Linked DNA regions of Lepisosteus oculatus. The protein of the gene in region 2 binds, or shares a complex with, the protein of the main gene of each other region. Links are inferred from orthologs where the notes say so. Each region holds a gene or a part of one and is shown on either strand. Other genes may lie near its edges.

Region 1 (6,964 bases), about 1.1 Mb from region 2:
CAGTCTGCAATGAAGAGAGAGAAAGGAAAGATGTTGAAAGACAGAAGAAAGCAGGACACTGAGCCCCAGAGACACAGGGTGGCACAGTAGGACACTGAGCCCCAGAGACAGACTGTCACATCAGGACACTGAGCCCCAGCAGGATACTGAGCCCCAGAGACACAGGGTGGCACAGTAGGACACTGAGCCCCAGTAGGACACTGAGCCCCAGAGACAGACTGTCACATCAGGACACTGAGCCCCAGAGACAAACTGTCACATCAGGACACTGAGCCCCAGCAGGACACTGAGCCCCAGAGACACAGGGTGGCACAGTAGGACACTGAGCCCCAGAGACAAACAGAGCACAGGACTGTGAGAAAGAACTGTACCTCCTTGCAGGCCTGGAATTTCTACCAGAAATCTGCACGTCATTTCAGTTATAGTCTACTTAAAGGAAGTGTTAAAACCACTCGGATAATTAGAGAGAAAACACAAGGAGGCTAAAGAAGGTTTATGTCCCATGCAGCTATTTACTGACCACATCAACTAATATTTTATGGTATTTTAACAATTTTGGCCAGTATTGATACAGTCTAGTGCATCTGATGAAAAAGCAAGATCGGCACTTAAATTCACCAGTATCTACTGAAACACACCATCTCAGGACAAACTTAATCTATTACTGTTTTTAGTCCAGCTAAAACCTCAATTACCTAACTGATACAATTAAGTGTTTAAAAGTCAGTTGGCTGTGATTTCCAGGGATTATTCGGGTACTTCTGAAACCTGCAGGACCAGGACTGCCTAAACCAGTCACAGCTGATACATCATATCTCAGTGACTCACTGTCAGGGGCTTCTTGTCATTATCAAGTTTCTCTTTCCACATCTACAAATTTAAAAGGCCACTTTTTATCCTACCATATACAGATCCATCAGGATTACATGTGATCATAAAATAGCTTAAAGTTCAGTAGAGTACCATACAGTTGTTTTCACGTAAAGATTGAAGAACATGGTGTAATAAGTGAAAAACAATCTAAACTGTCTTTTTACAGCAGTGTAGCTATTTTAGATTTTTATATTACAATAAAGTGCACTCTAGAACACAATTAAGCCAACAACCTCCACACACAGGACAGAAGACGGGTACTGTCAAGGAAATTTAACTAATGAGCATTGATGTATAAAGCTCTCAGTGTAATGCTGTAGTGCTTAGAAACAGTTGAATTTGTAACAGAGGATTTTGTAATTTGTAACACTTCAGTAGCAGTGATTGTGACCAGGATAAGAAAAGCATATTAGAAACGAGTAATGTGCCTTCTTATGACAATAAACATATCAGTTCAGAGAGGTCAGAGAGAAGACTACAGGGCCAGATTAGCTCAGTCAAACTGGGCTGTAGAAGGCAGGTCTCTACTAACACTTGGCTTCACTTTCTCAATCTGCCAGGATTGTACGAGGACAAACACACACAGGACTTACATTTCTCCAGTGATATACTCCAGCCGCTTCCCCACTGTAGCCTTCGCTTCATCCAGGTCCTGTTTGACTAGAACTGGGCCAATCAGCTTGTAGACAGTGTTCTGAGCCTCCAGCAAGTCCAGCTCCTGCCCCCACAAAGCCAGAGCAGAAGATAAACCAGTTAGCCCTCAGAGCCACATGGGAGGACCTGCAACTCACCCTTAGTAAAGGCTTCAGCCTCACACCACAAAGGAGACGCACATCTGAAGAAGCGACAAGCAGCAGGGAATAAAACTCTCTCTGATGCTGACGAACCAGCAACAGAACCAGAAAGTCAAAACAGAGGATCAAAGAGGTCTGAAGGGAGAGTGGCGCCTCACCTCCTTCACGATGTTGTTCTCCGTCAGCTGGGCTTCCAGCTTCTGTCTCGCCGACATGCTTTTACTCAGATCTGCAAAGAAACAGTTTTAATATTTAGGCCTCCTATTTCCCAAGCAGTCGCAGCTCTCAGGGAACGTGAGTAACATAGAGGCCAGTGTGACAGTCACATTAACGCACCACTACTCTCTACCTATCGTCTTCTGCGTCAGCCCACAGGCTTTTACTGGAACAGGCAGAGCACACTCCTTCACAGCCACAGATCAGCAGTTCTTCATACATCAGTAATGACACTTTAAAAGCACAAATATTGCCTTAAACACTCTTAGCCCTCCATCCATCTCCTAATCGCTTCATCCAGTTCAGGGCCACACAGGAGCCACAGTCTCTCCCGGCTAGCAACAGGCTCAGGGCTGGGTACCCCAGACGGGACCCCAGTCCATCCCAGGAGACACACAGACACACACACTCGCACCAGGGCCAGTTTTCCCAGAAGCTGATCAACCCACCAGCACAGTCTGGACTGTGGGAGGAAACCCACTCAAACACTGAGAGAACATATAAGCTCCACACAAACAGCACCCCAGGTCCCAGTACCATGAGGCAGCAGTGCCGCCCCCTTTATTACTGCACGATTCATTATCATCACCTAGAGCTGAGGCAGAAACCCCAGGCTCCTTCACATTAAAGCGGCGTTATGTTAACACGAAGAAGGACACACAAGCGATTGGGACGCTCCCCGTGAGCTGACCTTTAACAATTCAACAAAGTCGCTACCGGAGTGGTCACCCACTTAAAGCACTGGTCATTTCACATTCAGCTTCGAGTTTTGTGAGTCTCCAGTATCAGACGTGTCCAGCGACACGATGACCAGAACAGTGCGTCCGTAGCCACTATCAGCTCAAAATACAGAATGCGATAGACACCACTTTGTATCTAGGAGAACTGCAATAATAAATTCAACTTTGCCTTTCTGGGTCTGTTGATATTTTTCGAGCTCAGTTTGAAGTCTCTTCTGGATTGCTTCCGCCATCGCTGGTCCAACACCAGGTTTTAGGGTACCAAAAGCGGACGGAATAATATTCCGATAAAAATGCCAAATATTTTTTTTAATTATTGGGCTCGGCAGCCTTTTTACCACCTCGCCGCACCACCTGCCTAGCTTCACAGTCTGAGACAGGAAGAGCTATGGCGTCGCACCGGATATGACGCTACCACGGCACTGACTTGTGATGGTAAAAGACGCCATGTTGGTAAGGGACAGAGAAATAAGAAAAAAGGTTGGGTTGGTTTTGGATAGACTTGGAAGACTTTCTATTTAAGCATCTAACTGAATGTTAGAGTTAAGGAGTTTGATATAATTCGCAAGATGTAAATAACATGTATTTATCATTAATCTGTTATTAATAATGGGTAAATATATACACTCAACTGTCGCTTCTCCTTCCTTTGATATTTATAAGATGGAAATGCGATATTCCATTAAAAAGTTTAAATACACTAATGCAAAAATGCATTGCAAAGATACATTTTGTATTCAGGTTTGTAATTACCTCTGGCAGTGTATTTGTTTCACTACCGCTTTTTCCTTCTCTCATTTGTATTATTTGATGTTCAAACGTTTGAAAAAATAAGAAAAACATTATCGTTTACCGAAAAGCAGGATCGTTTGCATAAAATGCGTAATATAAGAATTACGAACACGTTTAGATGTATAGATTCATTAACTATTTTCCCTAACTCATTTTGTATATAAGACGTATACATGCAAGTACACAGTAGCATGCGCACTCGTGTTTTGTAAATGACCCATCCTGCCGGCTGTAAGAGAGCTACAAGCAGGAACGAGCTGGCGCTGAGTGTTTCCCTTCCTTCTACTCATTCAGCACTGGACAAGAAATCAACACCCTGTCGCCACTGCAACACAACTAAAAAGCATCATCTACTGTCATTCGATAATTTCATGCACTTTGCAAATTACTGTTTTTTAGGATCAGAAATAGCCTCAGCGCCCTCCTTTAAAAGGTTTTGTATCCCAAAACCAGAACCGCAGGAGCCTCTCGCTGTATGTGTTGGGTGAAATATAGAGACACTGAGTCTGGTGAGTCAGCAGTTATGGTTACAGCCTCCAGCTTCTGGAACACAATTCTATCAATTAGATTCTCATCTAATTTATAACTCCTCAAACTAAAGTGAAATCATTGCTTCATGCAAATCAGTCTTTGCAATCATGAAACTTCTTCCTCCTTATCCAACATCATGCTCTCCATCTTGATCAGTTCTAATGTACTTCTTGAAACTTTCAATGTATTTCTTGTCAGTGCTTATATACACTTTACCTATTGAAATATCTATCATACACTATGTCTTGAAATGTCTTTTCTGCATCTTGTATCTCAAGGGCCGTGTCCTGCCCAGGGACCACAGCTGCAAATTTGCTTTCTAGCAGACACTGGTGCAGATGAAGAGCTGTGCGCTGTCCTCCTCTTCAGCTCCTTCTTCTCCAGCACTTCACCCAAAAACAAGGCACGTTTGGAATGAAACCATTAGTATGACACACTCTCAGTCACCACAGGTATCTTACCTGTCAGCTGCAGGTCCACTGTCACTAGAGAACTATTTAGGGATTTCAAACCTTCACTGAATGCGTTTTCCAGAAAAGGCCATTCCTTCTTTCCAAATTACCCTTTTTTTGGTTTGAGTCACTTCAATTCAGGGGTGGAAATACAGATCTTTATTTGCACAACAATTCTCATCTCTTCTGTAAAACATCAGGATTTGTGTAGCAAACTGGAATTGTTGCTCATTTGAATTTTCTCCCTTTTACAAACAGGACTGGCTGCTGTGCATATGAATGAACTTGTGTACTCTCGTCACAGAGCAACATGACAAGACAATTGAATACTGGCAACATTCTGTGAGAATTAGAGCACTTTCTGCACAGAACTTCAGTAATGTAGCCATTTATAATAGTTTGAAAGCAGACACTTGAAATGAACAAACCACCCATAACTGTGATCAGTTACATTACATTCCGTCTCAAACCACAATGTAGTGCTGCCTGCCTCAATCCCAGATTCTAATAATAGCACAAAGACAAAGGACTGCAGCATCAGAGTGGACTTTATTACAGCTCATCTGTGGCAGAAAACTGCCCCAGGTCAGGAGGAGAGGTCTGACCACTGGAGAAACGGGTGGAATAGTCTGTGTGGATGAAGCCACAGTGTCCACAGGGCCCAGTCCCTCGCTGGCTCACTGTTTCTTCTTCTGCACGTGGGCACAGTCATACTTCCCACGGACGACCTTGAGCTTGACCCCGGGCAGGTCCTGCGTGCGCCCACCCTCCACCAGCACGATGTTGTGCTCCTGCAGGTTGTGCCCCTCCCCGGGGATGAAGCACACCACCTCCCGCCCGTTCGACAGACGCACGCGGGCACACTTCCGGTTGGCCGAGTTGGGCTTCTTGGGCTTGCGAATCAGGGTCTTCAGCACCACGCCCTTCAGCTGCGGGCGGCCGAAGGTGGGGCTGACGCGGGGCGGCTCGGGGCGCGGCCGGCCCTGGCGGTGCATCTGATTGAGAGTGGCCATCCCACGCAGAGGGGCCAGGGGCCAGCTGGCCACACCGCCTGCCCCGTGCACACCTGCAGGACGGAGAAAGCGAGGAACAGCATGAGAGAGGGAACGGGCCGGTCAAGACCTGTCTCAGACACTCTTCTCCATCGCCTCTACCCAAGATGTACCAAGTATGTCGCTTCATACTTCTCTACCGGGTCACCGCAGAACCGTATAAGTACAGCAGAACCTTCAGTTACAGCACCCTAGGCCCCGGATGCTGCTGCAGAGCTGGGACGGACAGGGGACACCTGTATCAGCGCCCCTTGGCAGACGAGGTGGTACAGACAGCATGCATGGGTTAGGTCAGGATTTCTCCTGTGTGTGAAATTCTTTTAAATGACTTATTAAAATCAAAATGGTTGTAGCATGTAAATGCTAGCGGTTCACAAATTAAAACCACACCTATTTTGTGCACAGAAAGATTTTTTTTACCATTTTCAATAATTATATGATTCAAACACAACTGCAAACCATTCAAATACTTTGTAGTTTTGTTTCATTAAGCACCATTTCACCATTTGTTTCATAATGTTATTCCAACATTATACTGAGCAATTCATTTAAAAATTAAATTTTACCCTATTATCAGTTTCTCAGCCAATCTGCAGCTTTGCTTGAGTCACCACAGAACTGCCAAAGCTTTTATGTTCTAATAGGTTTGTTTCTATGTGATGTTTGTGATTTTCACACAGTGCTCAAACGTCAAACACATAATCAGGTGCACATATACCCTTTTTCTCAGGTGCTTCACTCACATACTCCTGCAGTTTACTGCTCATTCTGATTGTCTTTTCCCTGTAAGGAGCTCCCGGCAAGAACGCGCAACAGGCCCCAATCCCAAGGCCTGCTACAGTCACTGTGCTTGAACTGGCACCAGCAGGTTGGCAGGACTGGCCCAGGACACTCACCCCAGAGCAGCGCTGACACCACTGGCCGCAGATTGGAGAGCAAAGCCATCCCTGTGCTGCGGGACTCCTGGGGAGAGAACAGAAGCAAGGCGCCGTGAGGTGTCATCAGCACCAAGGCACCTTCCTGGCACATTTCAACTAACGAGAGAAGAAGCGACTCCTCCGATAGTCAAATACACGTCACAGGCATTGGCACCATAACTCAAGTCAGCTTCCTGTTACACTGTGATGTTTTAAGCTCTGCAAAATCTAGCACAAATTGCCAGGAGCAAGGGAGAAAAAATAAAAATTTAACTTTGATGTCACACTTCTATTGTCTACTCACTCCTACTAATGTCTTAGACAAAATCCCCAAGTAACAAACTTAAAAATCTCCAGCCTCTTTGTGTGCCTACTGCACAAAAGCCTCTTGTAGTTTGTAAAACCTGGAGCGGATCAGACTGCTGCGCACTGGGAATCTGACTGACAGCACTGTCACACCTGGAGCGGATCAGACTGCTGCACACTGGGAGTCTGACAGCACTGTCACACCTGGAGCGGATCAGACTGCTGCACACTGGGAGTCTGACTGACAGCACTGTCACACCTGGAGCGGATCAGACTGCTGCGCACTGGGAG
Region 2 (7,818 bases):
CGGTGCCGGGCCCCGGCGCCCTCCCTCCCGGCCGGGCGCCGGCCTCACCTGCTCCTTGTTGCTCTCCAGCGCCGGCAGCACCTCCCTCACCGTCCGCTCCACCAGCACGCCGCCCACCAGGCGGAAGCACTTCCGCGCCGGGTCCACCTCGCGCAGGGTCTCGATCACCAGGCTGGCGGGACACGCACAAGCACAGGGCAGCTCAGGCCAGGCTGCAGGCACAGCGCCCCCTCCTGGACCAGGACTGGACACCCCCGCTGCAGACACACTGACCCCTCCTGGACCAGGACTGGACACCCCCGCTGCAGACACACTGACCCCTCCTGGACCAGGACTGGACACCCCCGCTGCAGACACACTGACCCCTCCTGGACCAGGACCGGACACCCCCGCTGCAGACACAGCGCCCCCTCCTGGACCAGGACCGGACACCCCCGCTGCAGACACACTGACCCCTCCTGGACCAGGACCGGACAGCCCTGCTCCAGACACACTGACCCCCCCTGGACCAGGACCGGACACCCCTGCTCTAGACACACTGACCCCTCCTGGACCAGGACCGGACAGGCCCGCTGCAGACACACTGACCCCCTCCTGGACCAGGACTGGACAGCCCTGCTGCAGACACACTGACCCCTCCTGGACCAGGACCGGACACCCCCGCTGCAGACACACTGACCCTTCCTGGACCAGGACCGGACACCCCCGCTGCAGACACACTGACCCCTCCTGGACCAGGACCGGACACCCCCGCTGCAGACACACTGACCCCTCCTGCACCAGGACCGGACACCCCCGCTGCAGTCACACTGACCCCTCCAGGACCAGGACTGGACAGCCCTGCTGCAGACACACTGACCCCTCCTGGACCAGGACTGGACACCCCTGCTGCAGACACACTGACCCTTCCTGGACCAGGACTGGACACCCCTGCTGCAGACACAGTGCCCCCTCCTGGACCAGGACTGGACACCCCCGCTGCAGACACACTGACCCCTCCTGGACCAGGACTGGACAGCCCTGCTGCAGACACACTGACCCCTCCTGGACCAGGACTGGACAGCCCTGCTGCAGACACACTGACCCCTCCTGGACCAGGACTGGACAGCCCTGCTGCAGACACACAGCCCTTGTCTATGTAGATGAGGTGTAGAGTATGTGTATAGAGTCCATGTACTTCTATATATCCTAGGGCACTCTTGAGCTGGGAGGCACGGTGGTGCAGTGCTCAGGGTTGCTGTCTCACAACTCTGGGGTTCTGGGTTCTATTCTGGACTAGAGGAGCTGTCTGTGTGGAGTTTGCATGCTCTCTCCGCATTCGCATTGGGTCTCCTCCCATGCTGGTGGGGGAACTGGCTTCTGGGAAAACTGGCCCTGTTGTGAGTGTCCTGCCCTGGACTGATGTCCCATCCAGGGTGTATCCTGGTGCATCCTGCTTGCTGGGATAGACTCCAGCTCCCCAGGGACCCTGTACTAGATAAAGCGGTCAGAAGATGGCCGGATATGTATTCAGCGCAGTAACAGGTGGAACACTGTGTCCACCTGCAGAGCCGAACCCCTGGGAATGAGGATCTGCACAGGGTCCGGACGGGAGCAGGCGGCCAGCAGACGGTACCTGTGCTCGTTGATTTCCATCTCCAGCTCCGCTGCCTTGGACGCCATGCTGCGCTGCTCCTGTCTCATCCTCTGGAACCCGGCCACCACCTGACAGAGGGAGACACGTCAACAGACTGGACAGGTCCACACACTGCACTGAGAGAGAGGGGTTCATACAGACTGGACACTCCAGTCCATTAACACTGCACTGAGAGAGAGAGAGGGGTTCATACAGACACACTGACTGGACACTCCAGTACATTAACACTGCACTGAGAGAGAGAGGGGTTCATACAGACACACTGACTGGACACTCCAGTACATGAACACTGCACTGAGAGAGAGGGGTTCATACAGACACACTGACTGGACACTCCAGTACATGAACACTGCACTGAGAGAGAGGGGTTCATACAGACTCACTGACTGGACACTCCAGTACATTAACACTGCACTGAGAGAGAGAGGGGTTCATACAGACACACTGACTGGACACTCCAGTACACTAACACTGCACTGAGAGAGAGAGGGGTTCATACACACACACTGACTGGACACTCCAGTACATTAACACTGCACTGAGAGAGAGAGGGGTTCATACACACACACTGACTGGACACTCCAGTACATTAACACTGCACTGAGAGAGAGGGGTTCATACAGACACACTGACTGGACACTCCAGTACATGAACACTGCACTGAGAGAGAGGGGTTCATACAGACACACTGACTGGACACTCCAGTACATTAACACTGCACTGAGAGAGAGGGGTTCATACAGACACACTGACTGGACACTCCAGTACGTTTCCCTTACCCGTTAAGCAAAACGGGAGCTATTATTAGTGAGGATACAATCATCATATTTTTGTGCCACTAGAAGTAATAAAAATACGGTAGCCAGTGACTGTTCCGACAAATTCGTCGTATTTCGTGAAAACGCCGCGTCCAAACCCGGCTCATCGCCGTACTGTACACGGTAACGGTCCGGTTATCAACACGGGCGTTTCAGTCCACAATAAAAACCGTGCGCCCCCTGCGACAGGGGGGGGTCTCGTCTGCCGTGCGGTAGCTCATCAGAGCCCGTGTCGCGTCCCGTCGTGTCACCGCACTGCAGAGATTGCATTACTGCTGGTGTTTCCAGAAATCGGGGCTGCTCGGGTTGCGGCGCTGGGCTCAGGCGAGCGTGCGATCAGCCGCCGCATGCCCACACCTCCTCTGCCGCCCCCTCCCCTTCCCAAACCCGGTCCGCCTGGAGAACGGGGCTCCCCGCCGGCCTCGGGCGTTACCTGCTCGGCCGTGGGGCCGGACTGCTTCCCTCCGCCGCTGTTGCTTTTACCACCGGCCGTGCCGCCGCTGCTGGCGCTGCTCGCCGCCATCTTGACTAGGGGAACGGCCGTGCTCCCAGGACCCCTCCTTACTACCCGGGGCTGCCCCGCCAGCTGCCTGCTGGACACCAACGCGAGAAGCGCCGAGACGTAGCCTACCCGTGCGACAACCACGCAAATTCTTTTAATGATAATTTAAAAAAACAAACAAACAATTAGGTCTGAGGGAAATTCACCTTTAATGGAAAACAGGTAATTGTAATTCATCGAAAACAGCCATTGTCAACATGCCTAGGAAATTTCGTTTTAAGATATTTAGCTGCAGGGGGGAAAAATGTCATTTGTTGTCATTATCGTGTAAAGAAGCATTTTCGCTGTATTTGAAATGTGATCTTGTGTACTTCTGAACAGGTATTATAGCGATAATAGACGCATTAAGTCCGTTAATCGTGGAGATCCTCAGGTGGAAACGCATGACCTGTTTATATAAAGTTAGACTAACAGGGTATGCATACTGCTGTAGATCTGTAACGCCAGAATGAACAATATAGGCTCTTTCTTTTCATGTCAACCCGTGATCAATTTCTTCCTGAACACAGGTGTAAGCCTAAAACTCAGAGTGCATGTCCTGGACGGTTGTTTCTAACTTTGTTTAATAAAGTAAATCATCTGATACCCAAGGTAATCATTCTGGTTGCAGTTCGGAGAAACGAAATAAAAAAAACGCACACAAAACAGTTCAAAGTGCGCCTTCACCAGCGGCCACACTCTATTGGTCACAATACTGGGGCTGTTCTGTTAAATTACAACAGGAGGAGCGACGACCTTTTCTGCCTCGATTGAGGTTCCTGCTCTGGGCTCCGTCCATGCTGCGACGCGGGACGCTGTGGAGTCGAGCGAGCTACGCCTGGAGCACAGCCCTCCGATACACGAGTTTCACGTCTCGGAGAGCGCGCCCAGGCGACCAGGAGAGGTAAACACGCCCCGTGGACCGGCGGGGTATTTAATGGCCGCCGTACTGTACGTGAAAAGCCCGCTTTGTTTGAAAATCTTATCCCGTTCCTCTTGGTCAGGTTTGGGTGTGGTGCCGGTGGGGGCAAAGTGGATCAGTGGTTTGCACTGCTGCTGCATGGATACATTTTCGCACCTGGGGTGCTGTCTGTGTGGAGTTTGCATGTTCTCCCCAGGAGAAACTGGCCCCGGTGTGTGTGTGTGTGTCCCATCCAGGGTGGACCCCACCTTGCGCCCGTTGCTTGCTGGGATAGGCTCCGGTTCCCCCCTGTACTGGATACAGTGGTGAGAGAAGGGCTGGGTAGAGCCCAGGTCTCTGCTGTAAAGGGCACTTGTCTGGCTCTCTGTCCCAACGGGTTGACCTCAGTTTATACTCCAGACCGTCTTCAAACCCAGCCCCTTCAAACTCGGGCTCCTCAGAGCATAAGAGAGGTTACAAACTAGGCCTGCAGTGGTGGTCCTGATCCATACAGGTCACCCCCCCTCATCGCCGGCAAACTTGTTTAAGTGACTGATCAGTGCAGCGAGTCAGAATTGTGATGTTATTTATTGTGTCATCTCTACACTTCTACAGCTGTCCTCTGGACCCCCACTCAGAGCGCTTTACAGCTCATGGGGATCCCCTCCACCCCCCAGCAGTGTGCAGCCCCACCTGGGTGAGGCACAGTCCGCTCCCCCCACCCCAGCTCTCAGCGTGATGGAGCCAGTTCAGAGAGGGGTGCCTGAACTGATCCCGGTCCCCCCTCCTGGGACTGAGGCTGGTCCGTCCGGAAGTCCGTTGGGCTTAAGCTGCAGCTGAGGCTGACTCCTGTCCAGTCCCGGGGAGGGGGAAGACTAACACAGGCGCGCTCTCCCCCTCCCTCCTTCCCAGGATGAGCTCCCGCAAGCCGGTGGCCGCGCTGTGCCAGGTCACCTCCACGCCGGACAAGGAGGCCAACTTCGCCAGCTGCGAGGGGCTGGTGGAGCGGGCGCGCGAGGGCGGGGCCTGCATGGCCTTCCTGCCCGAGGGCTTCGACTTCATCGGCTCGGGCCGCGAGGAGACGCTGGAGCTGGCGGAGGCGCTGGAGGGCGAGACGGTCGGGCGCTACGCGGCCCTGGCCAGGTCCGTCCACCGGGGGGCGGCCTGGGGGCTCGTTACTCGCTCAGGCTCTGTTCCCTGCTCTTACTCACATGGAGGAGGAGGAGGAGGAGGAGGGTGGCATCTTTCCCAGTAGAACCAGGAAATAAACCGTAGAGTCCAGGAGAAGCACAAGAGCTGGGTGCCCCCCGTCGTCCAGGGCCTGTCTGACGTCCCTCCCAATTCTCCCTCTCAGGAAACTGGGGATCTGGCTGTCCCTGGGGGGGTTCCACGAGCGAGGGGAGGACTGGGAGAGGGATCGCCGGATCTACAACAGCCACGTGATCCTGGATGACCAGGGTACGCAGCCCCCCACCCCGTCCTGTCCTGTCCTGTCCTGTCCTGTCCTGTCGTGCTGTTCCATCCACCCACCCATTCTCCCACCACTTCTTCCAGCTCACCGCCGAAGTGAAGCAGGAGCCTATCCCAGCAGGCAGCGGGCGAAAGGCGGGGTACACCCTGGAAGGGATACCAGTCCATCACAGGGCAAAACACACGCATGCACGCACGCTCACACTCACACCTGGGTCGATTTCCCAGAAGCCAAGTAACCCACTGGCGTGTCTTTGGACTGTGGGAGGAAACCCACGCAATCACAGGAGAACATGCAGACTCCACACAGACAGCACCCCTGGTCCGGAATTTAATGTGGGGCCCTTAGCACAGCGAGGCATCATGTTGACCACTGCTGTTTTTACATTGGTCATAATACCTGCTGTCTGTGGCTGAAAAAAGTCAGAAAATTCTACAATGATCAAATAATTCATCATTCATAATTCATTCAGGGCATGGTGACATGACCCCTGTCACTCCACGGCCACACTCATCCTCTCTTTCTCCCAGGTCACATTGCAGCCGTCTACAGGAAGTGCCACCTGTTTGACGTGGAGCTGACAGGAAGGGGCGTGTCCCTGAAAGAGAGCTCCTTCACCATCCCGGGACCCTGCATCGTCCCCCCCGTCCAGACGCCCCTCGGCAAGGTTACGATTCTTCTCTTCTCTCTTTCACCGTTATCTCCAGCACCGGGGCAGCCGAAGACCACGGGCTGTTAATGGGCTGCCGGTGCAGAATGAACACTGTGCGTCTCCCAGGTGGGGCTGCTGGTGCAGAATGAACACTGTGCGTCTCCCAGGTGGGGCTGCAGGTGCAGAATGGCCACTGTGCGTCTCCCAGGTGGGGCTGCTGGTGCAGAATGGAGGCTGTGCGTCTCCCAGTTGGGGCTGCTGGTGCATAATGAACACTGTGCATCTCCCAGGTGGGGCAACAATTCAGTGGAGGATGATGTGGGTCTCCCCCTTTATGTGAAATGCTCTGCTATACCAGTACAAATCCAGTCTGCTATTACTGATATCACCAGAACTTTTAATTTGACTGAGTCAGGTAAGGTCTTCAGCTGTAATTAATGATCGCATCCAGCTGTTTTGTTTTCCAGCTGGGACTGGGCGTGTGTTATGACCTGCGCTTCCCTGAGTTCTCATTGGCCCTCGTGCGGAAGGGGGCGGAGATTCTAACCTATCCTTCAGCCTTCACCGTGGCAACGGGGACCGCCCACTGGGAGGTGAGGAAGTGACCTCACGGACGCGATGGAGAGGAGGACGGGGTGGGCGGGGCCGACGTGTGTACGGCAATCTTTCAGTGAGTTTTAGGACTGCTGTCGGTAGCAGTGTCTCTGCTGGGCTTGAGCAGGGAGATCCACAGACACGGACTTGTGTCGTCCCTGGTGTTTTCGGCACAGAGAGATGGCCTGGGTGCCCAATGTGAGAAGCCCACACAAGCAGTCATGCACACATTCTTAAGTCATGGGTGTCAAACCCAGTTCCCTACTCCACATTAACCCTGAGTGTCGTTGGGCGACTTGGACACATGCAGGACGATCCTACAGGCCAAAGCCTAGTGAGGCCCTGTTGTTGGTAACTGACCTTAACTTGACCTGGGAAACCAAATCTAATCGCCTCTCGGGCGTTAGAAAGTAGTTTAAAATTGAAGAAATGATTAACTTGTCTGGGGCAATGAGAGAGACTTCATTGACACCCGAGATCTTCATCATTCCTCAGTCGAACCCGAGCCCCTCCAGGCTGTTCTGGTTTGTACGCAGCCCGGCCCGGGGTGACTTCATCGCTGCAGTTGGCGGGAGTGTGGGTGAAGGTGATCGAAGGAGAGGGGTCCCCGTCTCTGAGGCCTGTTCCTCTGCGTGTGCCCCAGGTCCTGCTGCGTGCCCGGGCGATCGAGACGCAGTGCTTCGTGCTGGCCGCCGCCCAGGTGGGGCGCCACCACGCCCGCCGCGCCTCCTTCGGCCACGCCCTGGCGCTGGGGCCCTGGGGCGAGGTGCTGGGGGCCTGCGGGGCCACGGAGCCCGGGCTGGCGCTGGTGGAGGTCGACCTGCAGCGCCTGCGGGAGGTGAGGAGGGACATGCCACTGCAGCAGCACCGGCGGGGGGAGCAGTTCTACAGCCAGGACTGAACCACTGGACACCTGCGGCGGGGGGAGCTATTCAACTTGTTCTCCTATTCTGTGTGCAGCCCTGGGGGGGGCAGCACAGAGTCCCACTGCTTCTGCTTGCAGCCTCTGACCTTAATGACCTAATTGAACATTAAGCAATTAATTTATGGTCAGTTTCTTCAGTTTGTAATCTGTACCGAACTGAAAAGCTTCTTCCTCCCTGAGCTTCTGGGGCTGTAGCGAAATCTGGGGTACGTCCCTGAGCTCTGGGGTACGCGCTTAAACAGGCGCAGTGGCCGCACTGCGTTGTTGTAGCGCCCCCTGG
Region 3 (7,309 bases), on a different chromosome or scaffold from region 2:
TAGATCAATTTTGAAATGTTCCTCTTGTTTACATTAATTGTAATGTTCATATTATAAATAAAAATGTTGCCAAACTTTGGTTAATGTTAACATAATTAAAAAAAACTCCACTACATGTATCTTTTATCTTCTGGATCAGTGTGTTGCTCGAATTCCGGCAAACTTGCATATCTGTTCCAGTGTCAACTGCCATGTGCTCTGCTTCAAGGGGAAACAGTTTGAGATTTTTTTGTACATAAGAATTTATTTACTTTCACTTATCACTCTCTCCTCTGTGTTGCTAGTGTGTTACTTAGGCTGCAATTCTAGACTTTAGTGCTAAGATTCATTCCTTTTCAGGGAATGAGCTTTCAGTTTGTGTGGGAAAATGGTTAAGTTGAATGTTAAGCTTTTTTTTCTGCATGCTGCACCATATGCTGTGGGAATTGAAAACTTCATTCTGTATGAAAATGAAAATAAAACCATTTGAAGCTTAAGTTGATTAAAGCCTCTTGAAAAAGTTTACTTTTTAAAAAGCTGAATGCTCCATGTCTATAAAAAATAAATTAAAACTGAACCCAGTCTTTTAAGTATACAAATATACTTCATACAGTACGTGAGAAAATAAACCCTCCAGCTGTATTGATGTAATATTCTGTTGATATGAATCTGAAAGTAACTTTACTAGCACATATGTAGTTGATGCATTATTACTTATGGTTCTGGAAGCTGATTCCTATCAGAACGAGTACAAATAGTACTGTGCATCTGGAAAATGTATAAAAAGTTTCAAAACTGCTCAATACCACATGATTGCTTTGCACATTATTTTAAGTCAAGCCATCAGCTGTTGATGTAGCTTTATTCCACAACAAAGTTACAATTCACAACTTAACTCTGTGCTTCAGATTTAAGTTCATCATTGATCCACAGTGAAGTATAACAATGCAGTTAATTACAATTACAAATTGTTGGTGCCTTGAAGTCTTTGATCGTCAAACTCCAGCAGGCCTCAGTCACAGTGATTTGTACTTCTAGAACACCCAAAAATGTCCCAATTGTCCAGAATTTCCTAAAATCTCTCTGCAGTTCGACTGGCCACTGCTCGAATGTTACCATAAACTTTTGATGGAGGGCTTCCTGTTGGAAAAATTAAAAAATATTACAGATCATAACAGTTTTTTTAACCATTAAATGTTACAACATAGCAGGGGAGTCTGTTTTACATACAGTAATATGGCTATGGAAATAACTTCAGAAAACAATGGACTGAAAACACTTAAGGTTAAGACATCTGCTGTTCACTGGTCTACAAATCTCAAGGGTAGTTGTCAAAAGGTTCAGGCTTTTTACACCAATATAAGTTTTTTTTCCTAAAATGCAGTATAAATCTTATGGAATTAAAAGTACAGACTCCTATACAAAACTTACCCAAAATGAGGTTGCATATAGCTGTTCGTGCCATTTTAATGTTCTGGAAAGATCCCAAAATATGTATTTTTCTAAAACAAAAGGGAAAATATTATTTGCCAAATACAGCCTCTAATTCTTTATATCTTGCATAATACTCAGAATTGTACATAAAACAATGGAGTATTTATAAGATCAGTTCAGTATAGGGTTATTCTTCACACCCACTGCCCAGTAGGTTGAGACACAATGACAGCGTAAAACAAAAGTACTCACGTATCCGCTAAGACGATCCTTGTCCGGGTCACGTTTTCAATTGTAAATTTAGTTTTTCCTCCTTTGCCTGCTATTCTTCCTATAGCTCTGGAAAGATGATCTCCCTTCAACGGTTTAACTTTAAAAAAAAAGGTATTTTGAGTTGTCTTAAAGGGAGTCTACCTCGCTTACACACCTCTTAGAACATCTGAGGTACCCTATCAGTATTAATAATCCACAGAAAATAATTTAAAGGGACATCTTACTAGCATTTAAAGAATAAAAATGAGACTGTTTACAGCCCAGGGCACTGTCTAGGCAGTACCCAGCTGCTCTGTTTTTTAAATCAGAATCTTGGTTGGTTGACTTCTACATGACCCTGCATTTCAAAAAGAAAACTTGCAGGCTTGAAGATTAACACCTAGTTAAGAAGCTGACAGATTGCACCATTCTGGAACTGACTACAACACTTCAACAACCTCAAGTATGAGGTGTTGCAAGGACAGCAACTTTACCATATAAACATGAATTATGTCAAAACTATCAAATGACTTCAGTTTCTCATTAACGTTGTTAAACCCGAAGCTCACATAAGCCACAAACGAGCTAGATGGTTCCACATGGTTGGACATTTTGCCCAGTGGTCATTTTAAATGAGTAACAGAAAATCCATGCCACAGACTTTAATACTGACTTAGGACTTACCATCGGTGACCTCAAAGGTTTCTAGAAACAGCTCATCTAATCTGATCAGGGCTAGGGCATCCTGTGAACAAACAAATCTGTTGTTTAATGCCAAGTGTGTTTAATTCTTTACCTCAGTACCCACTCCAAATTGAGGGATATTAATATATTTACATCTAAGAAGACCCGACTTAGAAAATAATATAAAATGTCACCATGTTACACTACATTAGTCTGAAGAAGAGCAATTAGGTACATTCCCAGGATTGAACAAATACTTTTCTGTAAAACACAGAAAACAAATGGAAATTAATGGGAAGTACATTTATAACTTAAAACAGAAGGCACCTTTTAATATAAAGGGTCATAGATGCCTCAGGTAAACTACCTGGGGTGTTCAACAGGGCTGATAACCTAGCTTATTTTAAGAAATGCTGGATGAAACTCTGATCAACTGGCCAACGGCAAGCAAGTGTGTTAGATGACCTAAACTTCCTCTCATTAGTAGCCATTATGTTATATTATGCTTGGTTCTCAAATGTAAACCAGATGTACAACATCACACAACAGTCAATGTTATGTATTTTTCAAAAACATGAAAGCCATAGGAGCAATCCCAAAATTTGCCCATATTTTACCTGAATCTAGTCATTTTATACATACATATATAAGGTAAGAAACTCACCTCCACTTGAAATCCTAGTACAAATGCTTTCACAAAGTCTGCTGCTTTGGTAAGTGCACTTATGTCTTGTGTTTCTTTACAGGTCTGAAAAAAATAAACGCATTAATTACGTTACAGGTTTGATGACGTCTGGCTGTAGCCTAATTATTGTTGAAAGAAGGCAATTACTAGATTTTGACGTATGAAACATTAAAAGGATGCTTACATAGTTTGCATCTACCCTTACACAGCCCAGTCACACGCATTATTCTAAAAGGTACTGACTCTAAAATTGTTTGGCAATTTATACTACCAAATATATTTCTAATCATTAAATTCAGAACGACTGAGTAGATCTATAGTAGAATAACACCAATCAGCGTTAAGAGGCGTTTCAGTTAAGAAGGTAAAAACTTACTTTTATTTCAACATTTCTTGTTTTAAGGTTAAACCTGACTTGTAACTGTAAATGTTCTACGATGGGAGTGAAGATCTTCATCCAGTTTTCTTTCAAAGGTGTATACCGATGTGACGGTACAGGGATTTTTCGCATTTCATCAGAATCTCCCTATAAAACGACGAAAACATAGCATAATCAGCAGGTAACTCCGACTAGCTAGCCCCAAAGAAGCACATGTTACACCACAGATCGTATAATCTACAAATAGTGTTAACTACTTTACCTTCATTTTGTCTCCAGAAATGGGTGGAAATTCGGGTCTCTTCCTATGAACTTCAGTTTCCATCTGCCCATCGTCAACTTGACGCTTTCGCTTGTTGTTTTTCTTTGATTTAACTTGCTTAAACTCATCGGCCACGTTCTGACAGCCCGTACTGCTGCTGGGCTCGTTACCAGTCCTCGTCGTTTGTTCAACTTCCATTGTTAAGCGATAAACAGCTCCTGCAATGAGAAAAATCCCTGTACTTCTTATAGAACACTAACAACTGCAACACATGCGGTAAGACACCATCTTGTAAAAGGACCTAACGTGTCCACCAGGGTCCTTCTCATAAAAACAAATAGACGACTTTCAGGACTACGTCACTACCCCTCCTAGGACCCAAAGGTAAAAAAGAATGTTACATACTTACGTTACAAATAAATACAGGGTATTGTACCATGTAGGTTTAAAAAATCTTTCGTTATTGCTAAAGATCTAAAAATGTAATCTTAAAAGTGAATTAATGTTTTAATCACTGTAACAGCTCGCTACAGTTAAATACATACGTTATTGCTACGGTAGTGGTGTTCAATATATTTTCAGTCTGTAACACGATCTGAAACGACAGCGTACAGGGGTGCAGATAATTAATTTTGAAGAATGTCTAAGGATTTCTGTGCGACTTCAAGTGTGGCGCAATTGCTTCAGGCGCGGCACAAGACAGCTTGCAGTTTGTGGGGTCCTCCGGCTGAGTTAGGAAATGGAAACCCGACGGTACAGTAACTGTGGCCCACACTGCTAGACGTGACCAGTGACGAGACGTGCTGTCAGAGCTGGAGCCTTGTTTCTACTTTTTAGACATTTTTTACTTTCATCTTTGAATTTGAACATACGCCGCCGCCTCACGAGAAGCAATGTCGACTCCTCTGGAGAAGCCGCAGATTATTTCTCACATACAGAAAAGTCTCAACTACACTGTGTTTGATTGCAAATGGATACCCTGCAGTGCCAAGTTTGTGTGCATGGGGAACTTCGCTAGGGGGACGGGAGTGATGCAAATCTATGAAGTCCAACACGGAGAAGCTAAGCTTGTCAAAGAGGTCTGGCCAACGTATCCTGTTGATTATAATTTGTATTGGTCATTTATTTAGATATTTAAATGGCAAGGCAGTTTTCTAGAAAATACTTCGGCGGATCGTTACCATGGCAATGCACGCTTTGTCCATAAGGGCAACACCTTTGCTGGGTTTTTAAGTCGCACATTGTTCTTGTTTTAACAGAAAGACGACAAACGAGAACTATTCGTTTAATTAAGCTTAAAGTTCAGGTCTCTTGGTGATATAATCCAGATGACTGCAATGGATTGTCGTGGGGAAAGTTATAAACAGACAGATTTTCCGATGTATTTGCATTGAATTGGTTTGGGTTTCTGTGCTATCCACGCCAATTTCAGCGTCCGAAATGTTGTCATGTTTTGTCTTTTCGTAGATTGAAAAGGCCAAGCCTATTAAGTGTGGAACATTTGGTGCGACTTCAATACAGCAGAGGCATCTAGCTACTGGAGATTTTAGTGGGAACCTCAATATCTGGTAAATTTAACTTTTATCAGTAAGAATCTTAAGGTGAACCACGTCTTTCCTTTCTGGGGTGAAAGAAAATGCAAATGATGCAAGTGCAAGTATTGCATAAACAAGGCTGTTTTATTCTCAGCTGAAGTAGTCCCTAATGAATACATGGTATCCTGTTTTGCTTTTTGTCCTCTTAATGAGGCTTTATGAGTATTATTTGAATTATGCCAAATAAAAGTTGTTTGCAGCTGAGGGGTTATAGTGCTTCTGTCATTCAGAAACATAATTTGGGAAAGTGGTGTATTTGTCTGGTGTGAATGGCAGGATTGCAACGTGAACATGCGCACAGTCTTTGTTTGAATTCCTTCAAAATATATTTTGTAGGAATCTTGAAGTGCCGGATGTCCCGGTTTATTCAGTGAAAGCACACAAGGAAATTGTGAATGCCATTGATGGTGTAGGAGGCCTGGGTATTGGAGATGGAGCCCCAGAGATTGTGACTGGGAGCAGAGATGGTAAACACATGCTGTTCATGTTCATGTAAACTTTGTACTTGTGGCTTATGAACTTGGTAACAAGTAGTGTGCAGAATATATTTTAATTCACGTTAAAATGCTGAAATGTATGTTTTGATTTATACAGGAACAGTTAAAGTGTGGGACCCAAGGCAGAAAGACACTCCAGTTGCAAATATGGAACCAGTTGAAGGAGAGTCAAAGAGAGATTGCTGGACTGTAGCATTTGGTATGTATAAGGAACATGTGGCTACTGTTTTCTGCATATTTTGTTTGAGGTTTTCCAAGATTGTTCCAAATGGTGTTAAAGCAATCCATCACCCGCATTTTAAGCCTGAAATAAAATACATGAGAAATACTTTTTCGGGGTCAAAATGTTTTTAACAATTAATCCTGTTGATTTTCTATATGGATATGGGTATTGAAAATCATCAAGTTTTTTGTGGTTTAATCGCACTCCTTGGTTGCCAACATTTAATCATTTCACAGTTGAAATGCTTTTAATGTTGCATTTACTGTGTCGTGAAAGCTGAAGTATATATTTTGGAGGCTTTATGTAAAAAATGAAATGAAATTTCCAAATAGACGTTTTCATGTATGTTGAAGAGGTTTTAATTTTGTTTACTTACTCAGTGCACTCTTTATTTGGTAGTATTTGGTGCCTTTCAAAATTATATTGCAGTATTTGTATTTAAGTGATACATACAACTATTTTTCTGCCTGCCTAAACATACTATATATATAAAATAAGGTACAGAATACAGGTTGCCTTCTTAAGATTAAAATGTTTACCTCTGTATATCATAAAGACGTAATGAGGAACACAAGATTAGCGTTTAACCTGTTATCTATCACCATTATATAATGTAGTATCAATGTTTGTGTCTAGATGTAGTACAATGAATAAATATTGATATCACAACTATAATTATACTTTTAAAAGATAATTCTTTCTTTTCACTTCAGAATCTGATTTTACATTTTGTTTGAGTTAGGACATGCATTCAATGACCAGGACCGCTGTGTGTGTGCTGGATATGATAACGGCGATATTAAACTTTTCGATCTGAGGAATATGTCACTAAGATGGGAAACAAACATTAAAAATGGGGTAAGGTGGAACACCAGTATCAGTTTTAAACTAAAAGCATTCCGATTAACATATAACTAGACAGTTTTTTTTACTGTTGAACTGTTTCTGAATAATTAGTAAATGCTAAAACTCTATCTTAATGAATCTGGCTTTTCCAACAGCAAAAGGTATTTGATTGACAGGATGAAAAGATGTTGCATTCTTGAAGGAAAGTAAAACAGTAATACATTGTGTAGTGTTTACCAAGTTTTCATCTTGCATGATCTTCAATTCTGCCAAGTCCATTGTATTTCTATGAATTTTCTTAATGCTTTTTAAGACTGTTTGGTTTGAGTTATAACTGAGTTATATTAATGTGGGTGCATATTGTGTTATTGTACATCATGTTTCTGTAATGTCTTCTTTTCATTGTATGAGTTGCAGTGTTTGGTTTCATTTTTTGTGTAATTGACAGGTATGTTGTGTCGAGTTTGACAGAA
Region 4 (7,659 bases), on a different chromosome or scaffold from region 2:
AATAAACAGTTGAAATGCAGTGAATCCCATGCTAAGTCAGTACAACAGAATATATTTTAGGACAAGAAATTAATTAATTTAACTTATTGTCGTTCATTTAATTATTTATTCTCAATAGAAGCATGAAAATGTAACTTTCACCTCTTTATCATGCAATTAAACCAGCTCTCTGATATGCCTATAAAAATCTAATAAAAACAATACATTTTACAAGAGCAAGACAAATTCAATGCACAGAACAATTCAGAAAGAGTCCAGGTGAAAGCTCACAGATCCTGGGCTGAACTGATCACAGCCGGTAAGAGCACAGCAGAGCAGACTGCTGCCCCCTCCCCTCCCCGAGTCTTACTCTGTCAGCTGGCTGGTCTTCCTCTCTATAAACTTCAGGGCTTCGGGCAGCGTGAACTCCACAAAGAACCCGAATCCCACGGCAACGAAGATCTTGGAAGGATCCTCACTGGTCATAGAAACAAGGCAAAGCTGAGTGTGTCAACTACAGCAGACACGTGGTAAGCGAACCAATTATTCATTTAGCAATCAATACTTTGGCAGACACCTTTATCCAACGTGACCCATGTATATTTGCACAGCTGGGTGCTTCCCTGAAGGGGGTCCAAGCGAAGTACCACGCTCAAGGGCACAACAGCAGTGTCCCCACCTGGGATTCGAACCCGCAACCCTCCACTTGCAAGTGCAGATCCCTGACCACTGAGCCAGCTGATAACAGAGTGCTCCTCCTGAAGGCACGTTCCTGTTCTCTCACAGGAAATATTGACAAAAAAAGTCTATACCACTTCAATACCAGAAATCCGTTTTATTTTGAAGAACCCACTTCCTTAACAGATGTAAAAACCGGTGGTTAAGAAGCCAGGCCAGGAATCAAGACGGAAGACTCAAAACATCTCCGCTGTACTTACACATGAGCCTGGACATAAAAATTACAGCCCAGGTCCACATCCGTTTTAAGCTCCTTGCTTCCCGATTCCTGGAATAGGGAGACTGGTTTAAGAGTAAGAAAAAACAACCTAATTCACCAAATTACTCGAAACAAAAATCACAGCTGTGAGAATATATATATATATGTACATCTAATCATACATCTATAGTTCTTTATGTCAGTGATTTATGTTTTAATAAAACTGCTCCAAAATCCGAGGTGTGCTATGTGACACCTATTGGCACATAGCACATTATTAGCGGACACTATCGCTACAATGGAAATAAAATAATAGCATGAAATTAAAGAGATAGGTATTGAGATACCAGTTCACATCATTCCGAGTATATATGTAAACACTGCATTTCACGATTTCAAACTTCCCTAATGTATAACTACTGTCCTACAATATAACCCACACTGTAAAGTGAGAGGCAGGCGAGTGCTGTACCTGAAGGCTTTCAATCACGTTCTTCAGCTGCAAATACTGGGCGATCTTCTCGTAGATCTCATCTCTCTGCTCCAGCACCGTTCTGGCACAGTAACAGACAGACAGTAGTCACGGCGCCGACACGGCGACAACACTCGCCAGGTAACCCCAATGGCCGAGAGATGAAAACGATGTTCAGGGTGTTTTTACTTTGAGTTCGGGCATCTGCACCTCCTCCTCCCCGCCCCCCAAAAACCGGACCCAGGCGTCGGCTGAGCAGCCAGAAACAGCCGTGAGCCGCAGGTGACCTCGGTCTGTCGCGGGACGGGAGACCGCGAGTCTCTGGGCTCCGGGTGCGACAGATTAAATCCCTTCATCTTTCCAAGCTACAGGCTCCCGAGTCCCAGCCAGCACCCCGGGTGTCTGTGCTGTCCTGTTGACAATATCTGCATGAAGGTGAGGACTTCTGTACAACTCATCCACTGTGTGTCTGGGCAGGGCCAACATTGACTTTAACGTGCTTATGGACGAAACATTAAACTCTCTGCTTACATCTGGTTTTTCCCGTTTACAACTGTTTTTTTCTGCAATATATCTAGGGGCTTGTGCAATATATTTTTATATTTATAATGTGCAATACAACTTTCTGTTTTTTGTATATTCTGTACTGTGAGCAACTTTTTTTAGTGCACTTCTCACTGAGTGTACCGACTGTATTGTATTGTTGTATTATTGCATTACACTGTGCTCTGTTGACTGTGCTAAACTGCTGTTGCACTGCAATCTCCCTCACGGGATCAATAAAGTATCTTCTTTATTAAAAGAAAACTCTCCCCCTCTCTCAGCAGAATTTACACAAGAGCTCACAATTTCCTGAAATGCATCAGACAGCTGTACATCTGGGGGAGTGCCTTGAGCTAGAGAACAAAAGGCAAACTGTGATTTTTTTTTGGGGGGAGGGGGGGGATCACGGAGACAGGACAGCAGTTTATCCAATCTGGTGAAGCACACAGCTTCAGTTTTGCACTATATACCGGACAACTACAGCTGCGACAGGTAAAACATTGGGATTAGAACCTGCATTTAGACTATAAAAACAGAAACAAAATTCCACTCTTCGGCCCCCCACACACTTACTGCAAATCTCGCTTCAAGACCTCGTTTATAAACGTCTCGTATGCAGAGACTTTTTCTTCAACTTTCCGCCTGCCGCCCGGAGTCATCGTATAGTCTCAGCAGGGCAGGAGCCTGTAGGAGAGACGCACGGTGTGAAAATGAAACAAACACTGACATCACCCCTCGCCCGATTTACACACCTATCGTAATCAAACCCGATACAAACAGATCATTTCTCGGTGCTCAACGATATATTCCCAACGCCACGTTTTCGTTAGGCATGTCTCTCCTTGCAGAATTAATCTCGCTTTGAATGTCACCCAGATAAACCACGTCCCCTGCTTATTGAACTGCTGCTAATGCAAAAAAACATAGAAAAGCAGATGTGACACACGGTGTAAAATAGTTTTTCAAGAGGCGGAAAAGTATATAAACCTCATCGATTACTGAGATCGTGAGAATCAAGGGGAGCAAATTCATACATCATATGTTTTCATCCACTGCACGCGTCACTCATGGGCTTCCGGGTTAAATGTCAAGACGTTTTAATGTCATTTTGTGTTTTTTAAATGTGGTGTAAATAAATCCATACATTGACTTGGAAAACAAATACGGTTCGTTATCTATGAGCGTTTTTTTTAAAAAAATATATGTGTCTTATACGTGAATTTATTAATTTGCGTTACTGACGCCGGGGTCAAAGTTTAAATTCCCGTCCTTATTTTTAATTCTGGACATGTGGAGAAGTCCTTTCAGGGTTCACAGGTACCTACCTACACACTCACACGACACGGGTGTTTTTCGAGGTCCTTATCAATACTGAATAAAGTGGGATTAAAATTGCTTTCGGTGGGGGGAAATTATAACTAAATGTTTATTTCCAGCGCCGAGGGCGGAGCGGGGATACCGAACCGAGCCCCGGTCTGTGGTCGCGGAGACCCGGCTGGCTCTATCGCTGCAGGTGTTTAATGGGTGGCGTTTTTTTAATTAACAAAACCTCTGGTATTATTTCGACACAGGCCTCGGTACATATAGACGTCTCTGGCAGTGTCCCGAGTAACCCAATAGAAAACAGGCGAGTGTCGGAGCGGTTTTCGGCAGCAGCTGGGACAGTTTCACAGTTTCGCACTCGTAGCTCCTGTGAAGAGCTGGACGGGAGATTTGCTCTGATCTCCTTCGTTTTTTGTTGTTGTTGTGGGGAGTTCGTGTTAAATTCGGTGCCCACCGAACAACGTCCTCAGCTCAGAAGTCACTGAAAAGAAAAGTGTCAAACTTCTAAAAGACCTAATAAGCGACGCTAGAAAATACAATACTCATCTGGTTGAAGTGCCAAACCCGGTTGTTAAGTTGAATCTCCTTGTCATCGTTTTTTTTTTTTTTACCGTGTACCGTGTTGTTTTTACGGACGCGAGGATATCCAAGTGTTTTCTGAAGTTTCTCATATCGTTGGGTATTATTATCGCGGTCTACTGTTCTGTGGCCTACTTCTTGTAGGATAATGTGCACCCAAAAAACGAACTTCAGTGTGTTTGTGGTGTGAAGTGTTCGGGCTGTCCTTCACCTGCCGGGGCTCGTTTTCAGGGTGTGTTGACACAAGCGAGTCGCCATGGCCGGTCCGGAGCTGCTGCTGGACTCCAGTATCCGAGTCTGGGTCGTGCTGCCCATCGTCTTCGTCACCTTCTTCGTGGGGGTCATCCGACACTACGTCACCCAGCTGCTGCACAGTGACAAGAAAGTGGACCTGCAGCAGGTGTCCGACAGGTGAGCCCAGCGGATTTCATCTTTCCGGGGGCAGAATCGTGAAATGCTGCAGGAGTTTAAACAATCGTTGTTCGTAGATGTTGGTGGGAGATTTCACAATCAACTTGAAATTGACAAATCAGTGTATGGTCTCATATCGAAGTTATTCTGCAGGTGAAGTGTTGGAAATACATCAACTGTAAGATCAATTTTAGCTTATTAGCTGCGGGGAAATATTACCTGTGCAGAAGGTGTCTATAGGCCTTAAGTTATATGGGAAAGATTGGCACAGCACCAAGTGATCTGCAGCTGGGCTAGTACAGAGATTGAGATTAGTTTTGTGGCATGTGACCAGGCTCTGATCGACTGAAACAGTTGTGCAGAAGTGGCCCCGAATGTAAAAAGAGCAGAGGAAACAGGAAGCTCTGTGTCATAGCCCAGGGCACTGCCCAGCCCTCTGGTAGAGCCCTGTGCGTACCAAGCCAGCACTAAGCTTAGATAAAAGAATTAAAGTAGGACGCAATGTAAATATCAATGTAAATATTACCGCAAGTAACTTGTTATATCTGTTTTTGCAGCCAAGTGTTGCTCAGAAGCCGTATTTTGAGAGAGAATGGGAAATACATCCCCAAGCAGGTAAGAATGTTATCCTGGGCTTTCCGAGACTCTGGAGCATCCTAATGAAAATAGTTTTGTCCTTCATACTGGATTTGTGCTGGGTGCTTCCGACTCTCAGGTTAAGAGCTGATGTGAGCTACGCTTTCTGTGCTTGGCTTCAACTGAACTGGTCGTGAGAAATGCCGTGAGCTCCACTGTGTCAGGAATCGGTTGGTTATCCTCAGCTGTGTGGATCAATGATCAGAGCACTGAGAAGGTTTCAGCAGAGATGGTGCTCCTCTCTGGAATCAAGACGGTGTGGGTCTCTGGACTGGGTCTCCAGATGTGGCGGAGCTGCCCGCTGTCTGGGGAGCGAGGCTGCCCTCGTCTCGCGACGCGCGCGCCTCGTGTTCTGCGTGACGGGGTGCCGGCGGAGCTCTAGGCGTGATGCTCTCCAAACGCTTTTCTCTTCAGTCCTTTGCGATGCGGAAGCACTACTTCAACGATCCCGAGACGGGGTTCTTCAAGAAAACCAAGAGGAAGGTTGTTCCTAAAAACCCCATGACAGGTGAGAAAGAGGAACCGTCCCGTTTCGTTCGTGGTGGTGGGGGGTTGAGGTGCTTTCATTCTCAAAATACTAGAGAATTGAAGCAAACCGGGGAACCTCACACTCTGCACGCCCCCTGTCCTGAGCGCTATTTACAGGAGTTCGAACTTGGCATCGTACAGTGGGAAGAGTTATGGGGATTTGCTGCTGTTTAGTTTTGGGGTGTTGGGGTTACCTCTCACCTGGTGTGTCAGCTCCAGCCTCTGACTGGTCTTTTGCAGATACCAGCATGCTGACGGACATGATGAAGGGCAACGTGACCAACGTCCTCCCCATGATCGTGATTGGCGGCTGGATCAACTGGGCTTTCTCCGGGTTCGTCACCAGTAAGTGACTGTTCTGTTGGTCTTTCAGAAGAAATGAATGAATGCAAATGAATGTGACCCCTGCTGGAAAAAGATCAAGGTATTTCCCTAGCAGTCCACTTGCAATTCAATCAATTCAAGCTTTATTATCCTCTGGGGGGAATTTTGTTTCATGGCTGAGTCCAACTCAAGCGATACACTGCTGGACAAGTCGGGGGTGGCAGTGATAGAGAGAAAGGAGTTACCCCAGGAGGAGTTTTGTTTCCGCCTGTGAAGGGCTTGAGCTCTGCAGTCAGGGGCTGGGACATGAGCCCAGCTGTGTGCAGCCTGAAGGTCTAGCCTGCCTACTGCCCACTGATCCCCCTGTCTTCTCTCTCTCCGCACAGCCAAGGTGCCCTTCCCCCTGACCCTGAGGTTCAAGCCCATGCTGCAGCGCGGGATCGAGCTGCTCTCGCTGGACGCTTCCTGGTACGGCTTCGCACCGGTCTGCCCTCTCGCCCCCTCCAGGCCCACGGCTGCCCTGGCCTTGTTCGCGCTGTTCGTTCTGCTCTGGCTGTGAGCCTCGTGCCTGTCCTTCGCTCGGCTGGTCCCGGGTCCCGTAACGCCCCCAGGACACCACGCCGTGCGTCGGGGGACCCAGCCTTTGGAGAGGCAGCCCCTCGTCTTCCAAGTTCCCTTCCTGACCCAGTTGAAAATGCAGCTTCTGTTGACTTTTCTAAATCTAAATCCTCAATTTCTCACTTATATCTATTTTTATTGTATATTCTGCTACTGTATTTTGTATTGTGTCTTTTACGTAAAGTGCTATGAGAGAGCTCTCTATTGAAAGGCGCTGTATAAGAATAGAATTGATTGATTGATTGATTGTCCCCATCTTTTTCTGTGTAGGGTGAGCTCGGCGTCCTGGTATTTTCTGAATGTCTTTGGGCTGCGCAGCATGTACAACCTGATCCTGGGTCATGACAATGGTGAGCAAGTCAGAGCTGGATCCAAGGCACCCCTGTTTCTCTGTTCTCTCCGGCCGCTGACTAGTCCACAGAGCAGCGTGCCTTGTCTGCTCACTAATAGGAGAGATAGCTGCAGAGCTCTTTCTGTCTCGAGAGCAGATGAAAAATAACTGCTCAGCGCCAATGCAAAGGAGGCACTCAAGCACGACAATTGAAATGTTTGCTCCTTTGGTGGAGCTGGTTGGTTACATTATCCATCCATCCATCCATCCATTCATTTACCAACAGCTTTATCCAGTTCAGGGTCGTGGGGGAGCTGGTGCTTATCCAGGCTATCAGAGGGTGCAAAGCAAGATAAATCCTAGACATGGTGCCAGTCCATCACAGAGCACAGACATGCACACATACAGCTAGTGACAGTTTCCCAGAAGTCAATTCACCTTCCAGCATGTCTTTGGACCATGGGAGTGTTTTCTTGAAGGGCAAGAGAATCCCGTGTTGATGGATTTTAAAATTTGTTGAGAGACTCTGTGCTTTCTGACCTCAGTCTAAGCTGCACCCTTCAATGTCCCTTCCAGCTGCTGACCAGTCCCGCATCATGCAGGATCACATGACAGGAGCTGCCATGGCGATGCCCCCTGACCCTAACAAGGCGTTCAAGGTGAGAGAATTCTCTCCCCCCCCCCCCTTAAATTTTCTTCCAGGTCTCCTGAAAAGCCAAAGACTGGATGGGTTGAATCCGAAAATGAAAAGAGCAGATGGTGTTTTTTTTATCCTGAATAATATCCATCATGTCATGTCATTTGCCAAACCTCTTTATACCGTACGGTGTCGCAGGATGAATAATATATTGTAGCGCTCTCGGGTTCATGTGGGTATGCGCCCTTGCCACTGCCGCCTCAGGTCGGCTCCCCACCGCTGGGGACTCGAACCCGGGCCTCTGGCATCACTCAACAGGGACCCAGCCTCTCGAGCTAAAG

The links.
Region 1: pfdn2 (region 2) and pfdn6 share a complex: the UniProt entries of both Homo sapiens proteins name them as parts of the PAQosome complex. The link is inferred for Lepisosteus oculatus from reciprocal best matches to the Homo sapiens genes PFDN2 and PFDN6.
Region 3: pfdn2 (region 2) and dnaaf10 share a complex: the UniProt entries of both Homo sapiens proteins name them as parts of the PAQosome complex. The link is inferred for Lepisosteus oculatus from reciprocal best matches to the Homo sapiens genes PFDN2 and DNAAF10.
Region 4: pfdn2 (region 2) and uxt share a complex: the UniProt entries of both Homo sapiens proteins name them as parts of the PAQosome complex. The link is inferred for Lepisosteus oculatus from reciprocal best matches to the Homo sapiens genes PFDN2 and UXT.

What each region holds. Positions count from the first base shown.
Region 1 is NC_090713.1:23,463,925-23,470,888, reverse strand, and holds the start of pfdn6 (prefoldin subunit 6), read right to left. Parts: upstream 3,014-6,964; 5' UTR 2,857-3,013; coding exon 2,793-2,856; intron 1,897-2,792; coding exon 1,826-1,896; intron 1,592-1,825; coding exon 1,467-1,591; intron 1-1,466. Other genes in the region: mrps12 (small ribosomal subunit protein uS12m), read right to left, coding at 5,076-5,464, 6,347-6,395. UniProt on the Homo sapiens protein: Binds specifically to cytosolic chaperonin (c-CPN) and transfers target proteins to it. Binds to nascent polypeptide chain and promotes folding in an environment in which there are many competing pathways for nonnative proteins.
Region 2 is NC_090713.1:22,363,885-22,371,702, reverse strand, and holds the start of pfdn2 (prefoldin subunit 2), read right to left. Parts: upstream 3,017-7,818; 5' UTR 2,978-3,016; coding exon 2,888-2,977; intron 1,705-2,887; coding exon 1,616-1,704; intron 173-1,615; coding exon 49-172; intron 1-48. Other genes in the region: nit1 (deaminated glutathione amidase), read left to right, coding at 3,793-3,899, 4,809-5,039, 5,251-5,354, 5,898-6,034, 6,487-6,612, 7,257-7,514. UniProt on the Homo sapiens protein: Binds specifically to cytosolic chaperonin (c-CPN) and transfers target proteins to it. Binds to nascent polypeptide chain and promotes folding in an environment in which there are many competing pathways for nonnative proteins.
Region 3 is NC_090712.1:8,546,650-8,553,958, forward strand, and holds the start of dnaaf10 (dynein axonemal assembly factor 10), read left to right. Parts: upstream 1-4,305; 5' UTR 4,306-4,568; coding exon 4,569-4,754; intron 4,755-5,142; coding exon 5,143-5,243; intron 5,244-5,606; coding exon 5,607-5,737; intron 5,738-5,864; coding exon 5,865-5,966; intron 5,967-6,732; coding exon 6,733-6,848; intron 6,849-7,284; coding exon 7,285-7,309. Other genes in the region: RNA-binding protein PNO1, read right to left, coding at 1,052-1,119, 1,411-1,481, 1,666-1,783, 2,350-2,410, 3,014-3,097, 3,411-3,560, 3,676-3,873. UniProt on the Homo sapiens protein: Key assembly factor specifically required for the stability of axonemal dynein heavy chains in cytoplasm.
Region 4 is NC_090697.1:76,549,207-76,556,865, forward strand, and holds the start of uxt (protein UXT), read right to left. Parts: upstream 3,011-7,659; 5' UTR 2,966-3,010; exon of another isoform or gene 2,919-2,965; intron 2,616-2,918; 5' UTR 2,591-2,615; coding exon 2,505-2,590; intron 1,471-2,504; coding exon 1,389-1,470; intron 986-1,388; coding exon 918-985; intron 458-917; coding exon 350-457; intron 1-349. Other genes in the region: ER membrane protein complex subunit 3, read left to right, coding at 4,090-4,244, 4,802-4,859, 5,295-5,388, 5,649-5,753, 6,119-6,200, 6,621-6,700, 7,258-7,340. UniProt on the Homo sapiens protein: Involved in gene transcription regulation. Acts in concert with the corepressor URI1 to regulate androgen receptor AR-mediated transcription. Together with URI1, associates with chromatin to the NKX3-1 promoter region.